Linked DNA regions of Pelodiscus sinensis. Each later gene encodes a partner of the first gene's protein in a complex. Links are inferred from orthologs where the notes say so. Each region holds a gene or a part of one and is shown in the gene's direction. Other genes may lie near its edges.

Region 1 (5,381 bases):
CCACTAATTTTTCTTGTGGGTTCTCCAGTTCCAGAGCACCCATGAAATTGGCACCTATGGTTGGGGAATATAGATAGGAGTAGGCCAAGGGCAAGAATGGTGGGTGTGGTCTGGTGCAAGGCTGGATGTATGAATGGAGTTGGAATGGAGCAATTTGTGGGGTTGATATGGACAGGGAACATGAAAGAAGTTAGAATGGGCTATGAATTTAGGGTTTAGTGTGAAGGATCGGCAGGTGTTATGGCCCAGTTGGGATGAGGGGTCCATGAGCAAGGGCTTGGTTTAGGCAGAGGGTTGGGATAGAGGATGAGTTGGGTTTAGGGCTAGGCAATAAATAGAGTTGGGATGGGTGAGTGTGGGCTCGGAGCAGTGAGTATGAATGGAATTGCAATAGGTCAGCGGTCACCAACCAGTCGATCTCGAAGCAGTGCTCCCAGCCCCATTTCATTCCCCCCACCTGCAACGAGGAGCCTGCACGGTGCTACAGCCTCCTGCCCCTTGCAAAATTGGAGCCAGAGCTGGCTTCCTGGGGCGGGGAGAAGGGGGAAGGGAGGCGAATCCCAAGGCTCTGTGACAGAGCCAGCTTCTTAGGAAGTACATGTGTGCTGCTCCTCCCCTCCCCGTAGCAGCACCCACACTTTCTTATCTTCCCTTCATTCCCCCATAATTTGGGGAAGCAGAGTGGGAGGGGAAAGAGGGGGTTAAGATGGAGGCCGAGGATCATACGTGAAGGAGCTGGATTTCTTAAAGGAGCCACAGGTACGCCTCTTCTAGCACTGCCTGAAGATCCTGCCCAAGAGATACTCGTCCCTGGAGACCCCCAGGTACCAGCTGAGCTACTCCTGCCCCCTCTCTCCTGGCTAGAGACCCACCAGCACCCTGCTCCTGCCTCCCCCCCGACCAGACACCCACCAGCACCCCACTCCTGCCCCCTGTCCAAACCCCCGCCAGCACCCTGTTCCTGCCCCCTCCCTCCTGGCCAGACACCTACCTCAAGCTTGTTCCTGCCCCCTACTTCCCACCCAGATTCTGCACCCCCATCCCTATCCCACTGATAGGCAGCTCTATCCCACACATTGGACCCCTCATTTTTATCCCCACCCCAGAGCCTAGGGGGAACCAAAAAATCCACTAATCCTGGAACCCCAGAAGAGTTAATCTGGCCTGAGGCCTTGAACCTCAGACCTACCTTCTCTCCTCCCTCCCCACATGGGGCTGGATGCCAGGGGAGTGAGGTGTCTCAGTTGGGGCTACATCAGTGAGGTTGAGGGTTTTTGGAGGCGTTGTTTTTTTGCATCTCACTTGTACGGTCCCTGCTTTTTCTCTGGGTCACTGGCCTACCCCGACCCAAAAAGGTTCCCCTCCCTTCCCATAAATAAAGACAATGTTGAAACCTTTTGTGTTGGACATATTTTATTTAAAAATGAAGCCTGGCCAACAATCTCCTATCTGGCCACAGCATCACAACATCATAGCACCCCTCCCACACACCAACCCTGAGCCCCTCATACACCTCCTCTGCCCTGAGCCTCTCATACACCCCAACCCAAACTCCTGCACCCCACATCCACAAGCCAGTGGCTGGCTCAGCACCTCAACCCTCCACCTGACCCCAACACTCTCCAGCCTGGATCCCCCTCCCTGAGCCAGCATCCCCTTCTCCACCTCCTCCTGCACCTAATTTCCCTCCAAGAGCTTGCACCTCTCACCCCTTCTCACACCCAAATCCCTCATTCCCACCCCAGAGCCCGCACCTCCTGTCTCAATCCAATGAGAGTGAGCAAGGGCTGTGGCCAGCAAGTGATAAAGGAGGGGGAACAGAGAGGGCGGGGACTCGAGGAAGGGGGGGGCTCTTGGGGTAGATCTTGGCTTGCCCTAACAGTTAAAACGTGATCTTGGGTGCAAAAAGGTTGGAGGCCAGGGCAATAGGTGCAGCAGGGGCTGGTGGGCAGGGCAGTACAGAGTTGGAGGGGGCTGCGTGGAACTTGGGGGGTGAGGCGGTGCAGGGGGTGGTGCAAAGTTGGGATGGGACGGCACGCGACACTCCCCTCCCCCAAAGCCCCTCCGCACTCTGAGCTGAGGCGCCCAATGAGGGCGAGCGGCTTGTGGCCTCGGGTTGCTAGGCGACTGGGAGCGCCGCGCTGGGTCTGAAGCGCCAGAGGCCCGGCTCCGCCATGTCCTCCCTGCGCGACGCGGACCCCGGACTCAGGGCTTATTTCAAGCGCCACAGCCTCCTCGACGTCTACGAGGTAAAAGGCCCCGCCTGGGCGCACCAGCTCCCGGCTGAGCTGCGGGCGGAGGGAGCCGGGCTCGCAACGGCGCTGCGACCCACGCGGGGCTGAGTCCGTGTTAGCACCAACCCCCCCCCCCCCCCCCCCAGCCCGGCCCAGGGTGTGACTGACGCCTGGGCGCCACCTCCCTGAGTGTGCGGCTTGCGGCGTGGGCGGGAAGAGACGAGCTCGCCTGTGAGCCCTGGAACAGTAAGTTCCCGCCACGAGCGCAAGCCCAGGCGCGGCTGGCCCCTTTTCACCTCCCCCAAGCTGCCATGCTGGGCCCGCTAAGTCAGTGGGATCTCTTGCTGTTCCGCCCATTGACTTCAGTGGGTCTAGTGCGCCCGTATAATTACCTCGGCGGGAGGGGATGATTCTTTATAGCTAGTCTGGTTGAAAAACACGCTCAAGAACAGCAATTCTTACACATTCCACAAATCTCTGTGGACGAGGCCTATTCGTCTTGTAGAATAGTGATAGAAATGTAGCCGTGTTAGTCTGGGGTAGTTGAAGCAAAATGCAGGACAATGTAGCACTTTAAAGACTAACAAGATGGTTTATTAGATGATGAGCTTTCGTGGGCCAGACCCACTTCCTCAGATCAAATAGTGGAAGAAAGTAGTCACAACCATATATACCAAAGGATACAATTAAAAAAAAAGAACAAATATGAAAAGGACAAATCACATTGCAGGACAGGAGGGGGATTCGGGGGGGGGGGGGAGGAAGGAAGGCAAGTGTCTGTGAATTGATGATATTAGAGGTAGGGAGAGTGGGATGTTTGTGAGTTAATGGTATTACAGGTGATAATTGGGGAAACTGTCTTGGTAATGGGTGAGATAGTTCAAATGTTTGTTAAGTCCTTGTTGGCAAGTGTCGAATTTTAACATGAATGACAGTTCAGAGGATTCCCTTTCAAGTGCAGATGTAAAAGGTCTTTGTAGCAGAATGCAGGTGGTTAAGTCATTGAGAGAGTGTCCTTTCTGGTTAAAATGGCAAGAAACTGTTTTCTCTTTGTGATCTTGTCTGATATCTGTTTTGTGGGCATTAATCCTTTGGCGAAGTGTCTGAGATGTTTGTCCAATGTACATAGCAGACGGACACTTTCGGCACATGATAGCATAGATTATATTTCTGGATGCGCAGGAATATGTGTTCTTGATCTTATAACTCACTTGGTTAGGTCCAATAATGGTATCAGCAGAATGAATATGTGGACAAAGCTGGCAACGGGGTTTGTTGCAAGGGAAGGTACCAGGGTTGGTATTAGTGTGGTATGTCCTGTGGTGGTTGGTAAGAATCCTCTTGAGGTTAGGTGGTTGTCTATAGGAGACTATGGGTCTGTCTCCCAGAGCCTCTTTGAGTATGGTATCCTGTTCTATTAGTCTTGTGTTTGACTATCTCGGTTTTCTGTCCCATGCCAGAGGGTGCTTGTGGCTTCTTGTACAGTGGTTCATTGATGGAAAGGCATAAGCGTTTCTGCTGCTCCTTCCCTCTGTCCCCTAAAGCAGAGGTTTTAAATCTTGTACCTTCTTGGGCTTGTCCTCCACAGGCCACACCCAACATGCATACTATAGAACCTCCACAATAGGGATGTACCCGGTTAACCAGCAAGCATCAGTCTTATGTGTGATGCTTTTTGGTAACCGGTTAACCAGCGGCCTGGCCTGGCTGGAGCAGCTTCACAGCCCCTGTACACTAGGCTTGGCCCAACCAGAGCAGCCCTCTGCCTGTGGTGCGGTGTGGACCTGACCTGGCCAGAACAGTCCATGGTGCAGGGCGCTCAGATGTGTTGGAGCAACCCTCTGTCTGGGTCTACTGTGACACAGGTAGGGGGCCACTCCTGCCTGGGCAGGCCCCCTACCGTGGGATCCCAGTTATCTCGTTAAACATGTTTATCTGATTAACTTTATATGGGATTTTATATCCCTATTCCCTACTTGGCTCTGTGTGACTCCCTGGAAACAGCAACATGTTCTTGCAGCCATGAGGTAGAAGCATGGCAGGGGATGGGGACGGACGGACTGTATGCTGCACCTTGCTCCAAGCCTCAGTACCATAGTACGGTTGTAGGAGTATAATTTAGAGCTGTCAATTGACCTGTGTTAATGCCTGCGGTTACCACAGGACAGGTTTAACGCGTTAAAAAAATTAAAGCGTTAATCGCAGACGTTAATGCTGCACTGCCTCTTCAAAGGAGCAGCGCAAGCAGAGCTGGGGAATCCGCTGGCGTACCTAATGCACTGCCCCTTTAAAGCCTTGTGCTGCCCTTTTGAAATGCCATGGTGGCGCTTCCAAGGAGCAGTACTGCATGGAGCCCAGGGTCAGCTGGGAACTTCAGCTGATCCTGGGCTCCATGCAGCGCTGCCTCGTTGAAACACCGCCAGGGTGTTTCAAAGGGGAATTGCACATGATTAATTATGCGATTAATTGCTATTACATTTTTTAATCACGTGATTAAAAAAAACCTTTTGCGCAAGATCATTATACTTCAAAAAAGGAGGTATAAGGAACTTGTGCAAAAGGGGCTTTTTTGCAAAAAACGGACCTTCTACACTGCTTGTTTTTGTGCAAAAGCCTCTTGCGCAAAAAGCATCAGTAGAGAATATGCAAATGACAGCGCGACACATGCTAGTGAGTGCTTCATTAACATGCTCTCTGCCAGCAAAAGCCTGCAGTGTAGACATAGCCTCAGGGAGCCAGCTTTTAAGCCAGCTTCCTGCATGTGCTGACTCCTGCAGAGCTGCCTGCTGCCCCCCATGCTGCCTCCCACAGAGTCAGCAGCATGGGGTGACTAGAGCCAGTGCTCCGGGGGGCTGGGAGGGAGACGCTGTCTTAAAAAACGTCTCCCTGTGGGCATCGGCTTTCGTGGAGTCGCTTCCCCCCCCCTTGCTGCCTCTATCACATAGAGGCAGCAGGGGGCAGGGGAGAAGGGAGTACTTTAAAGTGGCAGTGTATTGCAGGGAGCCCGGGCTCCATGCGGCGCTGCCGCTTTGAAATGCCATGGCGGTGTTTCAAAGGGGCAGCACCACACAGCTGATTCCAGGCTCAGTGCGGTGCTGCCACTTTGAAACGCTGAAGCGGCATTTCAAAGGGGCAGCACTGCAGGGA
Region 2 (5,381 bases), on another chromosome or scaffold:
TGGGAAAGGAACATAACTGGCCATTTAAAATTATTAGGAGTATGGAACAGTTTCCATATGAGAAATTAAAGAGAAAGCGCCTTAAAGAGACTAAGATAAGGGCTTATGGGGCAGATATAATAGTGGTCTATAAAATCATTGTGAGGAAAGAGTGAAAGACTGTTATTTATTCCTTCTCACAACAAGAACTAGGGGTCACCAAATGAAATTAATAGGCAGCAGGTATTAAAACAAAAGGAAGTATTTCTTCACATAATGCAGTCCAACTATGCAACTCCTTGCCAGAAGGAGCAGCGCCCCACCAGCAGCAGTGCAGAAGGGTGACAGCATTATACCATACCACCTTTACTTCTGCATTGCTGCCCTCAAAGCTGGGCAGCTGGAAAGTGGTATTTACTGACTGAGGGACCAGCTCTGCAGGCAGCAGTGCAGAAGTAAGGACAGCAATACCAACCATGCCGTCCTTACTTCTGAGTTGTGGCTGGTGATAGCTCTCCCTTCAGAGCTGGGCTTCTGGCTCGCAGCCACTCTCTAGCTGGCCAGCTTTGAAGGCAGAGTCTTCACCAGCAGTAGCACAATAGGGTAAGCACCACCGCAATGCCCGCTACAATAACCCTGTGCCTTTACCCACACCCCCATTCATGTTCCCTCTAGTTTTTTTCATCCCTGAGGAAAAATGAATTTTCTTACGTGCACCAATATGGAGCTGATGTGTGAAAAAAATTCATGTGGCAGGGATGGACAGAAGTAGTTCTGAGTGTGGGAAGGGGCTCAGGCCTAGGGTGCAGGACTGTCAGGGCTTTAGGGTGGGTCAGAGCTTAGGACTGGGACAGTGGTCTGGGGAGCAAGGGATCTGGCTGGGATGCAGGCTCCAAGGTGGGCCAAGGCTGAGACAGAATTGGGCTGCAAGAGTATTAGGGCTCCAGCAGGGAGTGTGGGCTCTGGGGGGAGGCAAGTTTCTGGAATAAAGGACGGTGCTACCAGGCTACTGAGAGACAAGGGGACACCCCCCCCCCCCCATCTCTCTCTCCTAGCAGCAGCACCTGTGCTGGGGGGGGGGAAGGGAAGAGTGTGTGTCACTTCTTTTGGCTGTGGCAGCTGCAGGGCTACAAGATAGGCACCACTCTTGTGGCAGGTTACAGCAGAGACTGAGCTGGGCCTAGGGGAAGGGCTGCTCCAGCCATAGCAGATCTTGGTGCAGTGGCTGAGTCTGGGCCTAGCCTTTCCAGTTCGAAGGAAAGGAAGGGGTGATCTGGGGCAGGGACACTGGCTGCATTTGGGCTGCGTCTCCCGAGGCTGGAAGGGAAAGTTCTCCTCTGGCTAGCAGGTCCCCACCTTGGCTAGATTACTTGAGCTCCTGCAGAGCCTAGCTGGGCAAGCTGCACAGCCACACAGCTTACACAGATCTTAGTCCACAATAGGGATTACTCAAATGAATGTGTAACTGCTGAAATTTCCAGTGGTTACATAGCAGGGGATGGGGCAGGTGGCTTTTCTGCAGCTGGTGTACATGGGGAGTTGGCGAGCTTCACCTGTTCCCTCTCCACTCTGCTGCTGCCTCTGATACAGAAGCAGCAGCGAAGGTGAGGAGAGAGGGTTGCATGTAACCGTGCACAGTAACCAATGAGCATGGGCTCATTGGTTAACAATGTACACAGTTACACTTTCACACCCCTAGTGCACAACCCCTTTTTGGGTCATGAAGGAACTCAACTATTCCAGCACTGTAAAATTTAAGTACATTACATCATGAAGTTCATGCTTTTTAAAATCCCATGACAATAAAATTGACCATGAATCTGAAACTGTCCTATCCATAACCAAACTGTAATGCAATTGATTGCATATGCAGTCTGCATCCACGAACAAGTAACTTGCAATTGTAGCTATCATTAGATGGCAGCCAACTTCTACCAACTCTTGACAGAAAGGGCTGGTTAACCATGTGTGGCAGCATGGGATAGTAGGAATTTAGACTGTCCCACAACATACTGATCCGAACACAACTGTGCAGCATAACAAGATTTTATAGGGGACAGATCTTTGGGATGGGAATAGCAATCAGTGCCAAGTACATCACAACAGAGGGTGAACACCCGGCTCTACTTAAGGCAGCCCACTCTGCAGGAGCCGAGGAGAGGATTTGCGATCCCCGGCCAACATGACAGCAAAGGACCAAGGAAGTGTTCAGAGCCCGTCGCTCACCTCCCAGACATGGCGTCGTCCTGAAGTCCTGCTCCCAGCAGGCCTGAGAGAGAAGCACGAAGATTTCAGCCGCCGCACTAGGGAGCCGGGCACCCCACGGCCGCAGCAGGCCCTGCCCCCCCTCCGCAGCGCCCGGCACGTCGCCGGGGGACCCGCAGCCTCCACAGGGCCGCAGCCTCCGGTGCTCCCCGCTAACCCCGGCCGGCAACGGGGGAGCCCAGCTCGGCACGGGCCGGGCTACGTTCGCCAGGCCGGGCCCCCCCACCCCGGGGGCTGAAGAGCCAGGGACCCCGTGGGGCTGTGGGAGCCGGCTCAGGCCGGGGCCTAGCACCATCCGCCGCGCATCGGCGCCATCCCGCCGCCTGCCCCCGCCACACGCGCCCCCTGCGCAGCCCGGGCCCCGCCGCACCTGCCCCGCCCCACGGCGACGGGAGAACCCCCCTGAACCCACCTCGGGACCTCCGCTCCCCGGACTCACCCCCGCGGCTCCGACCCAAGATGGCGGCGAAAGGGAGAGCGGCCACCAAGCATGCCGGGATATGGCATCGCAAGGGCCCTTGGGTCGCCCGCAATGACTGCCTGAGTAGAAAACGCGCCCGCGGACGGGTGAATAAAACCCAGCCGCGGCCCCACCCTCCCTCTCTGTCCCCCGCGCCCTTTGTGTGGGCACCTCCCCTGCGAGGTCGTGGTTCAGGGGTTGTGCCCGACAGGCACCCACGTAGGCAGTGTGACTGGAAGGTCCCCCTTGAGCTTGGTAGTTGCCATGGAGACCAGCTCTGTCCGGCCTGCGGCCTGTGCGTGAGTCCCCTCAGTGTCACTGATAATAGACCCGGGGGGGGGGGGGGGAGGGAGCGACCTGCCCAGTGCGCCCCCCCCGGTGGATAGCGGGGGGCCCTGGGTCCGAGCGCAGCTAGGGAGCAGGGCAAAGCCCCTTGGGGAGAGGTGTCCCATTGCCCCCCCCCCCCGTGAAGGGAGCATCAGGGGCCCAGCCCTGCCCCCCCTCCTGTGGCGCGCCCCTGGGGGCCGCCTGTCTCCCGCACAGGGGCTGGGGGAGGGACACACCCGGGCGGGGGCCACAGGACTGCCCCCCCCCCGGGGAGGGTTAAAGCCCAACCCGCCATGAGAAAGGGGCCGTGGCCCGGGGCCGTGGCGAGGGGGGCCACGGCCCCAAGTAGGGACGTGAAGGATCCGTTCATCGAAGGGTCACGTGGCCTCCTGACTTCTAGCCGGTTACTCCTCTTGATAGTCCCCGGGGGCGGGGCCGGCCGCCAGTGCGCCCTGGCCCCACTCCCAAGGAGCTCCCCCCCCCCCCCCCACACCATGCTGCTGCCTCGGATACAGATGCAGCAGCACAGGGCGCCAGGTAGGAGCTGTTCCCTGAGAGGAGCCAGTTTAAAAGTCATCTCCCCTGGCTGCCTGTCACTGCTGCTGCCCCTGCTTGACACACGCAGCAGTGCGGGGTGGCAGCAACCCCCGTCTAGGGTGAGGCCGTCTGAGCTCCTGGAACTGAGCCAGGCTGCTTGCCTGCCTGGTGCCTAACACACTTTAAATGCAGAGTCGCAGCAGGGGAAGGTCCTGGAGCAGGACGGAGCTGGGTTGCTGGCCAGCCTGCTAAACAATTTACTGGCAGGGTGGGGGGAATTGCGTATAGTCTTTAGCATTAACCTATAAGCTTCTGGTTATATCAATTACACTGTTACATCCCTAGTACAAACCAGTGTGATCACACAAGCTCTGTGTGCGCCAAGAGGACTCTGCTTGGGTGTTGTGCCCACAACCTTTCTGCTGTATTTTGGCCATTTTTTGGGCGGTGAGTGCTTAGGAGAAGACTATCTTTCTATGCACCTGGCAGCCCCTGTGGCTTCTTCCATGCCACTGTAACAGTAAGTAACTTTAAAATTTACCTTTAATCCCTCATTTAGGCCTGGGTTGAGGATTTGGGCTTCATTGGAACAAACACATGTTTAAGTGATTTTCTGAAGAGGAGTGCACTAAGCATGCACTTAACTGCTTGGCAGAATCAGGGCCTTGTTGCTGATGCCTGTCCATGCAGCTAAGGCCACTGGAGAATTAGGGTAAATTTTTAAAAAGTGCCTTAGGGTATGTCTACACAGCAGCATTACAAAGAGGGCATCTACACTGCAAGTCATTACTTTGGAATAATGTCAGGCTGGAGGATTTCTTACTCCAATTCCTGTAACCTTCATATCACGCTTAAAATTAAGAGAAGTCAAAGGAAGAGTGAAGATTTCCTGCTGCGTAGACAGTGCCAAAAGCTGAATTATGTATGCAATTGCTGTAGCTCAAGTTGCGTAGCTTAATTCAACTTTTGCCCTCAGTGACTTAGCAGCTTAAACTCTATTTTCAAAAGTGACATTAGCTGAAACTTGGGCTTCTAAGTAACTAATTCACTCTTTAAAATAGGTTTTAGACTCCCAAGTAGCTCACATGCTTTTAAAAAATTTAACTGCCTCTGTGATAATCCCCTTACTTCTGAAGGCTGCAGATTTAATCTGGAAAGTCTCAGGGCCCGATGCAGTAAAGTATTTGAACACCTTTAGCACCTAACAAGATCTAGACATTTTTTTAAAAGCACCGGAGGAACTGTTTCAGGCAAGGTGAAAATGTGATGTAGACTTTTTGGTCAGGTTTGGCGGTCATGTTCACTGGGCTGTTCCCACAGAGAGACTATGAAAAGCAGTGCTGCTCTCTTTGCCAAATCCTTATTTTGTCAGCATCAGTGGATTTGGCTCTAGCACCATTGGATCTTGGAGAGGATCCAGTGTGGTGAGATCCAACTTTGCTGAAAATGCATGCCTTTGCACTAGCGTGCCCTCATAATATGACCCCTGCAAGAGCTTTACAGTCATTGAACTCCAGGCCAGCTGCTGCTTCTGGATTATTCTCACAGGGTTCTATAGTGAGGAAGCAGCAGGAAAGTTAGTACTGAAAAAAAATCTTGGTATTATTCTTTTTATAATAGCACCAGAAAGCATCCAAAGTGCCTCTTTGTATAGCCAAAGGATGTGATACCTGTCTTACCTGAAAAATCCCACAAGTTTCTAATGGGGTTGGTGTCTCAGACAGTAATGCCCCAAGCCCCTGTCTTCACCTATACTATGCAGGCTAAATTCCACGTAGGAGTTCTTCCATGCTCCCTCCCCACCCCCATTCAG
Region 3 (5,381 bases), on another chromosome or scaffold:
GAGATTAAGCTGCTAGGCTTCTGCTCTACCAGCTCACCATGTCCACAGAGCCAATAGGCTGGGGGAGCAGATCTGAGCATGTCTGGCAGTGTCCTCTGACCAACATCCTGAAGTGGGGCTGTAGAAGACCAGTGCCTTGTTGGGGTGGAGGCTCTTTGTTGCATCTGAAAACTTAGATTAACGTACCTGGATCCGGGCAATAGCTATTTTGATAGAAGTCCTCCTGCCAACATAGTGCTATCTACACTGCAAAAAATTAGATCATTAGAATCGTGTGAGTTCTGATGTGGACTATCCAACATACATGGCAGAGAGGCATTGCTGGCACTGGATGGCATATATCACATTAGAGGATGTGCAGTTGTATGAGCCCCTGATGTTGTGGCTTTGTGGTTAGGTCCTGTGATGGTGTCGCTTGTATAGATACGTGGACAGACTTGGCAATGAAGTTTGTTGTAGGGGTGGGTTCCTGGATGAGTGTAGCTGAGATGTTGTGGATGGCTGCTGGAAAGTATTTGCAATTGTACATTGGCCAAACTGGACAGTCTCTACGGGAAAGAATTAATGGATGCAAATCAGATATCCAAAAAGGCAACACACAAAAACCTGTTGGAGAACACTTTAATCTTCCTGGACATTCATTAATAGATCTCCAAGTCACTGTTTTGTTTCAGACCAATTCCACAAGCCAAATACACAGAGAAGGATTGGGACTTAACTTCATGCAGGAGTTTAATTCTTATGCTAATGGTCTGAACTGGGATATAGGATGGCTCGCACACTATCTTCAACCTTTTAACGTCTTAAACAACCAACCAAACAATGGCGGTTCTAATGGTTCCTAACAGCTTCTGGTAACTATTTGCACTATCTACTCGCTGTCTCTTTTTCTTCCTTTCCTCCCCTTTTTCCTTCTCCCTCCTTCCCTCATTTAATCTTGGATCTGGACTTATTGCACTCCGGTCATCTGAAGAAGTGGGTTTTGCTCAGGAAAGCTCATGATACCATCTACATGTTTTGTTGGTCTTGAAGATGCTACTAGACTACTTCTTTTATTGTGATACCTGTGTCTAGTGTGAACACTGTTATCTTAATATAAAGGTGCCTTATACTAGTGAAGTTTATTCCCCTTCCTGAATGGGCAGAGCTATACTATTTAGCTGTGTCTAGACTGGCCAGTTTTTCCGGAAAATCAGCCGCTTTTCCGGAAAAACTTGCCAACTGTCTGCACTGGCTGCTTGAATTTCCGCAAAAGCACTGATTTCCTACTGTAAGAAATCAGTGCTTCTTGCGGAAATACAATGCTGCTCCCATTCAGACAAAAGTCCCTTTTGTGCAAAAGGGCCAGTGTAGACAGCTCAGATTTGTTTTCCACAAAAAAGCCCCGATCGCAAAAATGGTGATCGGGGCTCTTTTGCAAAAAAGCCTGTCTAGATTGGCCACGGACACTTTTCCGCAAAAAGTGCTATTGCGGAAAAGCGTCCGTGCCAATCTAGACACTCTGTTCCAAAAATGCTTTTAACGGAAAACTTTTCCGTTAAAAGCATTTCCGGAAAATCATGCCAGTCTAGACGTAGCCTTTGGGTTGCCCCTGCTCCAGGTTTTCCTAGGATCTTCCCTTTTTGAAGGTAGTTGTCCCAGGAAGAATGCCAGGGAACTCCCAGGCGCTGGCTGTTGACCAGTGTATGGGGGACAGGATCAGCTCATGTCCCAGTTTTTTGTAGCCTCAGAGGTGACAACCCTATAAATAATACTCAGTGGACACCTATGCAGGGAGCCACACGAGGGGCTGCATTGCTCTGTCCCGGGACGCTGCAAGCCCGGCGGGCCTGTGGATACAGCGGAGGGCCGAGCTAGGCTGTGCCGCCGCCCGCGCAGCCGCTGAGCAGACCCGTGCCCGGTGCTGGGCCGGGCCGGGACACGGGTGGGGGCGGCTCTGTCACCTGTCGCACCATAAGCCCCCCCCCCTTCCCAGCACTGCGGCACCGACTCGCTTCCGGCCTCGGCATCCCTCCCCCGCCCCGCTCTTGACAACGGGCCGCTTCCTTAGCAACCGCGGCCGGGGCCTGCCTGCCGGACCGGGCGGGGCAGCGGGAGGTGGCGCCCGCGGGAGACGGTGAGGGGCTGGGGCTGGCGGGGAGGGAGGGGGCGGGGAGAGACGGGCAGCGTCTGTAGCTTATTCTGCCCCGCGTCCCAGGAGCTAGAGTTGGGCAGGGGCCCTCGGATGGGTGCGCGGGCGCAACGCCTCTGCCTGGAGTGAATTCCCTGAAGCCCAGGTGCGTCTTGAGGGGAACCAGGGACGCTTGGGGCTGCCTGGCCCTCTCCCCGCTCCCACTCTCCCTCTCAGCCAGCTGAACAGCCCCTTGCAGGGGAAACTTGAGTTTCTTCTCCTGTCCTGGGTTCTACACTCACTTATTAGGGAAATCCGGGGGCTTTGAGTTGCCAGCTCCTGGGACAGGGACTTGCCTGCCTTTGTCTGGAGCTCACTGCCAGATGCTTATAAGATCCGTTATAACCTTGCCATTCTGTTACTTCACAAACTCAGCACTTGTCATTTAAAGACACAGCAACTGCTCTCATCTCAACTTTCAGCGACTGTCCCCTGGAAGAGGCTGTGCTGCAGAGAGGTGTATTTATTAAGACTTCATTTCTTTTACAAAATATACAACAGCCTACTTGCATGTTACCCTTAGTAACCAGTACTAACTTATGCTTTCTTTAAGTATGGTGTCTTTACATTGTGTTTGTCTACTCTTTAATTTGCAACATTTACTAACCAGGCCTGGACCTTCCTGACATTAGTGGGGATGTAAAAAAGTGCAACTATTTAAAGGGTTAACTGATAAGCACCAGCATATCAGTTTGTGTTACAAGTTACATGCTGGCTCCCTGGAAGTGGGACGGGCAGGGGCTGCTGGCCCCGCTCCCAGGGAGCCAGATTTTTTACGGGCTCTGCAGTATAAAAGTTATACTGCAGAGCCTGCAGCAAAGGGAGCTGGCAGTCACCACATAACCTGCAGCCAAGCCTCCCTTAGAGCAGGGTCAGCAGCCCCGGCTGGTCCTGCTCCTGGGGAGCCAGCTTCACCCTACCCTGCAGTATAAAAGCTATACTGCAGAGCCTGCAGGGTGTGTAACCATGTAACTGCTAGGATTTTTAGTGGTTATACAGTTACATTTTTAAACGATTTTTTACATCCCTAGTAATTAGTACAAATTAGTGGGATTCTGTTGTAAATTGCAACTCTTAATACCATGCAGATGGCTCACTGTAAGAATTTAGTAAAGGAGAATAGTTTTTAAAATCACTTGGTTTAAAAATCATTTCTGCCTTTGCTTACTTGCCAAAATCTGCATTGAGTCCCTGAGTGTCTTTTTTCCTCTGTTGGAACTGATGATATCACTAACTCCTAAAGTAGCATTTTTCAGCTTCTGATGTTAGTAACAGTATCTGCAGTTATAGAGCAACAGAACTGAAGGGCTAAAGTCAGATCTTGGTGGATAGAAAGCCCTTCATTTCACCTTTAAGGATCCTGACTTTTACAGTATAGAAAGAAATGCCAGAAAGTCATTAGTGAGGAGAAGGAATCATGTTCTGGTTTGTTAAAGCAAAGGCCAGGGAATTTAGAAATGAGTTCTAAATTCTTGTATAACTCTTGGAAGTCACTTCCCATCTCTACCCCATGTAAAATCAAGAAATTATTTTGCCTACCTAAATGGGGGATTAAATTAACTGACTGTGAAGTACCTGTACATTGAAATCCTTGAATGGAAGGAGCTAAAGAGGAGCAAAGTATTATTTTAATTAATTATTAAAATTAAGTGACCAATTAATTTTTTACTGGGGTTCTAAGAGATCAACTTGATGAAGAGAAGAAAGGATAAAGTCTCTTCTAGTTCAGGATGTTGCTAGAGCTAGACTTGGCTTGGTTGAGCAAGCACTGGTGTTTTTGGAAATGGGTTGGATATTCTCTTTACCTCTCTTTTGACTCCATACATCTGAGTATTCCCATTTTGGATATCACCTTTCCCACAGTTACGGCCGCATAAAATTCCCATTCAAATATTGGCAAGACAATGCCAGCCACTGCTGATTGGCAAGTGTTGTCACAAGTAGTGGTTAACTTTCTTGAGGTGTTACTTCAGAAATACAATTATCCCCATCACTGAGGAGTGTGTGATATGTTGGTGATGACTCAGAGCAGTCTAAATGAAAGGCAATATAGAAGACAGGATAATTTTGTCTGTAGCATAGTTCATAGTACTGTTGACATAAATAGCCATGTTAGCAAATGGATGGCAAAGCTAGTTCTGCCAGATCTGAACTTGACAACTATTCTCCAACATGATCATAGCTAGCACAGTTTTTGTGCCTGGTATATATGGGCATGCATGTGAGTGTTTAAAAATCAAGAGACACATTATCCTTACAGAAGTCAACAACGTAGCTGCTTAATACAAATGTAACATACATTGGCAAAAATGGCTCATGTCCTCAGTCAGGCAGAGTCATCCTGATGGGTTCCTGACAGGTCCTCTAATCCATCAATGATGATAAACTTTTGGCTGTGTACATGCGTGTGCCCCCTTGTCTAATGCATTAATCATGCACAATTAATCAATATGACAAACTCTGAGAGAGCCCCCAGAGACCACAAATCAGATAAAGATAAAAAGCACCTGAGTAGGTTTATTGTCAAGCAAGGTACAAAATAGTTGTCAGCGAATGGACTCACCGCTGCGCCACTATACATATGTACACCATGACAATCGACTAACACCCAACTAAACTCTCTGGATTCTAATGTGCCCTGTCCCGTGTGGTCAGCTGACCACTTGTTTTGTACAAACAAATACCAAACAAACAAGTTACACATCAAGTTACACAGTGGAGAGAGATAAATAGCACATCAAGTTACACATCACTCCTGATGTATCAGGTTGCCACCCTCTGTTAGCTAGTTACCTCCCCTTACGTCACAGAAGGGGGGGGGGTTCCATTACTATCCATCATGCTGTCAATTTAGACCTGATCCTGAATCTGGGACAGTATGTATGTTATTTGTGGGGTATGTGCTGGTACCAAGATTTTTTAAATGAGGTGTTCTGTTATGACCCCTCTGGAATGTGCTTTCAGCCTGTGCCTAGTATCTCTGAAGTATGAGTGTTTCTGTAATAGCCCTGTTCTTGCCAATTTCTGTGAGCAGGGCCTGCTTCTTGCTCACAGCTTAACTTTGCTTTATATTAGCAAAGTCTTGACCATTGCTGTCTAGGCCTCAGGCCTCATATGTGGGCTTATGTTTCAGACTCTCATCTTACTACAGCTAGCATAATTCACCACTGGTGGAGCTTCACTGGTGGTAGCAGTGGTAAGAATGCTAAGC

Evidence for each region. The genes of interacting proteins can lie anywhere in the genome.
Region 2: FBXL13 (region 1) and DRC9 share a complex: the UniProt entries of both Homo sapiens proteins name them as parts of the nexin-dynein regulatory complex. The link is inferred for Pelodiscus sinensis from reciprocal best matches to the Homo sapiens genes FBXL13 and DRC9.
Region 3: FBXL13 (region 1) and DRC5 share a complex: the UniProt entries of both Homo sapiens proteins name them as parts of the nexin-dynein regulatory complex. The link is inferred for Pelodiscus sinensis from reciprocal best matches to the Homo sapiens genes FBXL13 and DRC5.

The regions. Positions count from the first base shown.
Region 1 is NC_134711.1:23,448,616-23,453,996, reverse strand, and holds the start of FBXL13 (F-box and leucine-rich repeat protein 13), read left to right. Parts: upstream 1-1,878; 5' UTR 1,879-2,174; coding exon 2,175-2,249; intron 2,250-5,381. UniProt on the Homo sapiens protein: Substrate-recognition component of the SCF (SKP1-CUL1-F-box protein)-type E3 ubiquitin ligase complex.
Region 2 is NC_134720.1:50,766,652-50,772,032, forward strand, and holds the start of DRC9 (dynein regulatory complex protein 9), read left to right. Parts: upstream 1-2,661; 5' UTR 2,662-2,999; exon of another isoform or gene 3,000-3,003; intron 3,004-3,503; exon of another isoform or gene 3,504-3,687; intron 3,688-3,913; 5' UTR 3,914-4,088; intron 4,089-5,381. UniProt on the Homo sapiens protein: Component of the nexin-dynein regulatory complex (N-DRC), a key regulator of ciliary/flagellar motility which maintains the alignment and integrity of the distal axoneme and regulates microtubule sliding in motile axonemes.
Region 3 is NC_134713.1:140,621,427-140,626,807, reverse strand, and holds the start of DRC5 (dynein regulatory complex subunit 5), read left to right. Parts: upstream 1-1,977; 5' UTR 1,978-2,116; intron 2,117-2,147; exon of another isoform or gene 2,148-2,276; intron 2,277-2,545; exon of another isoform or gene 2,546-2,627; intron 2,628-5,381. UniProt on the Homo sapiens protein: Component of the nexin-dynein regulatory complex (N-DRC) a key regulator of ciliary/flagellar motility which maintains the alignment and integrity of the distal axoneme and regulates microtubule sliding in motile axonemes.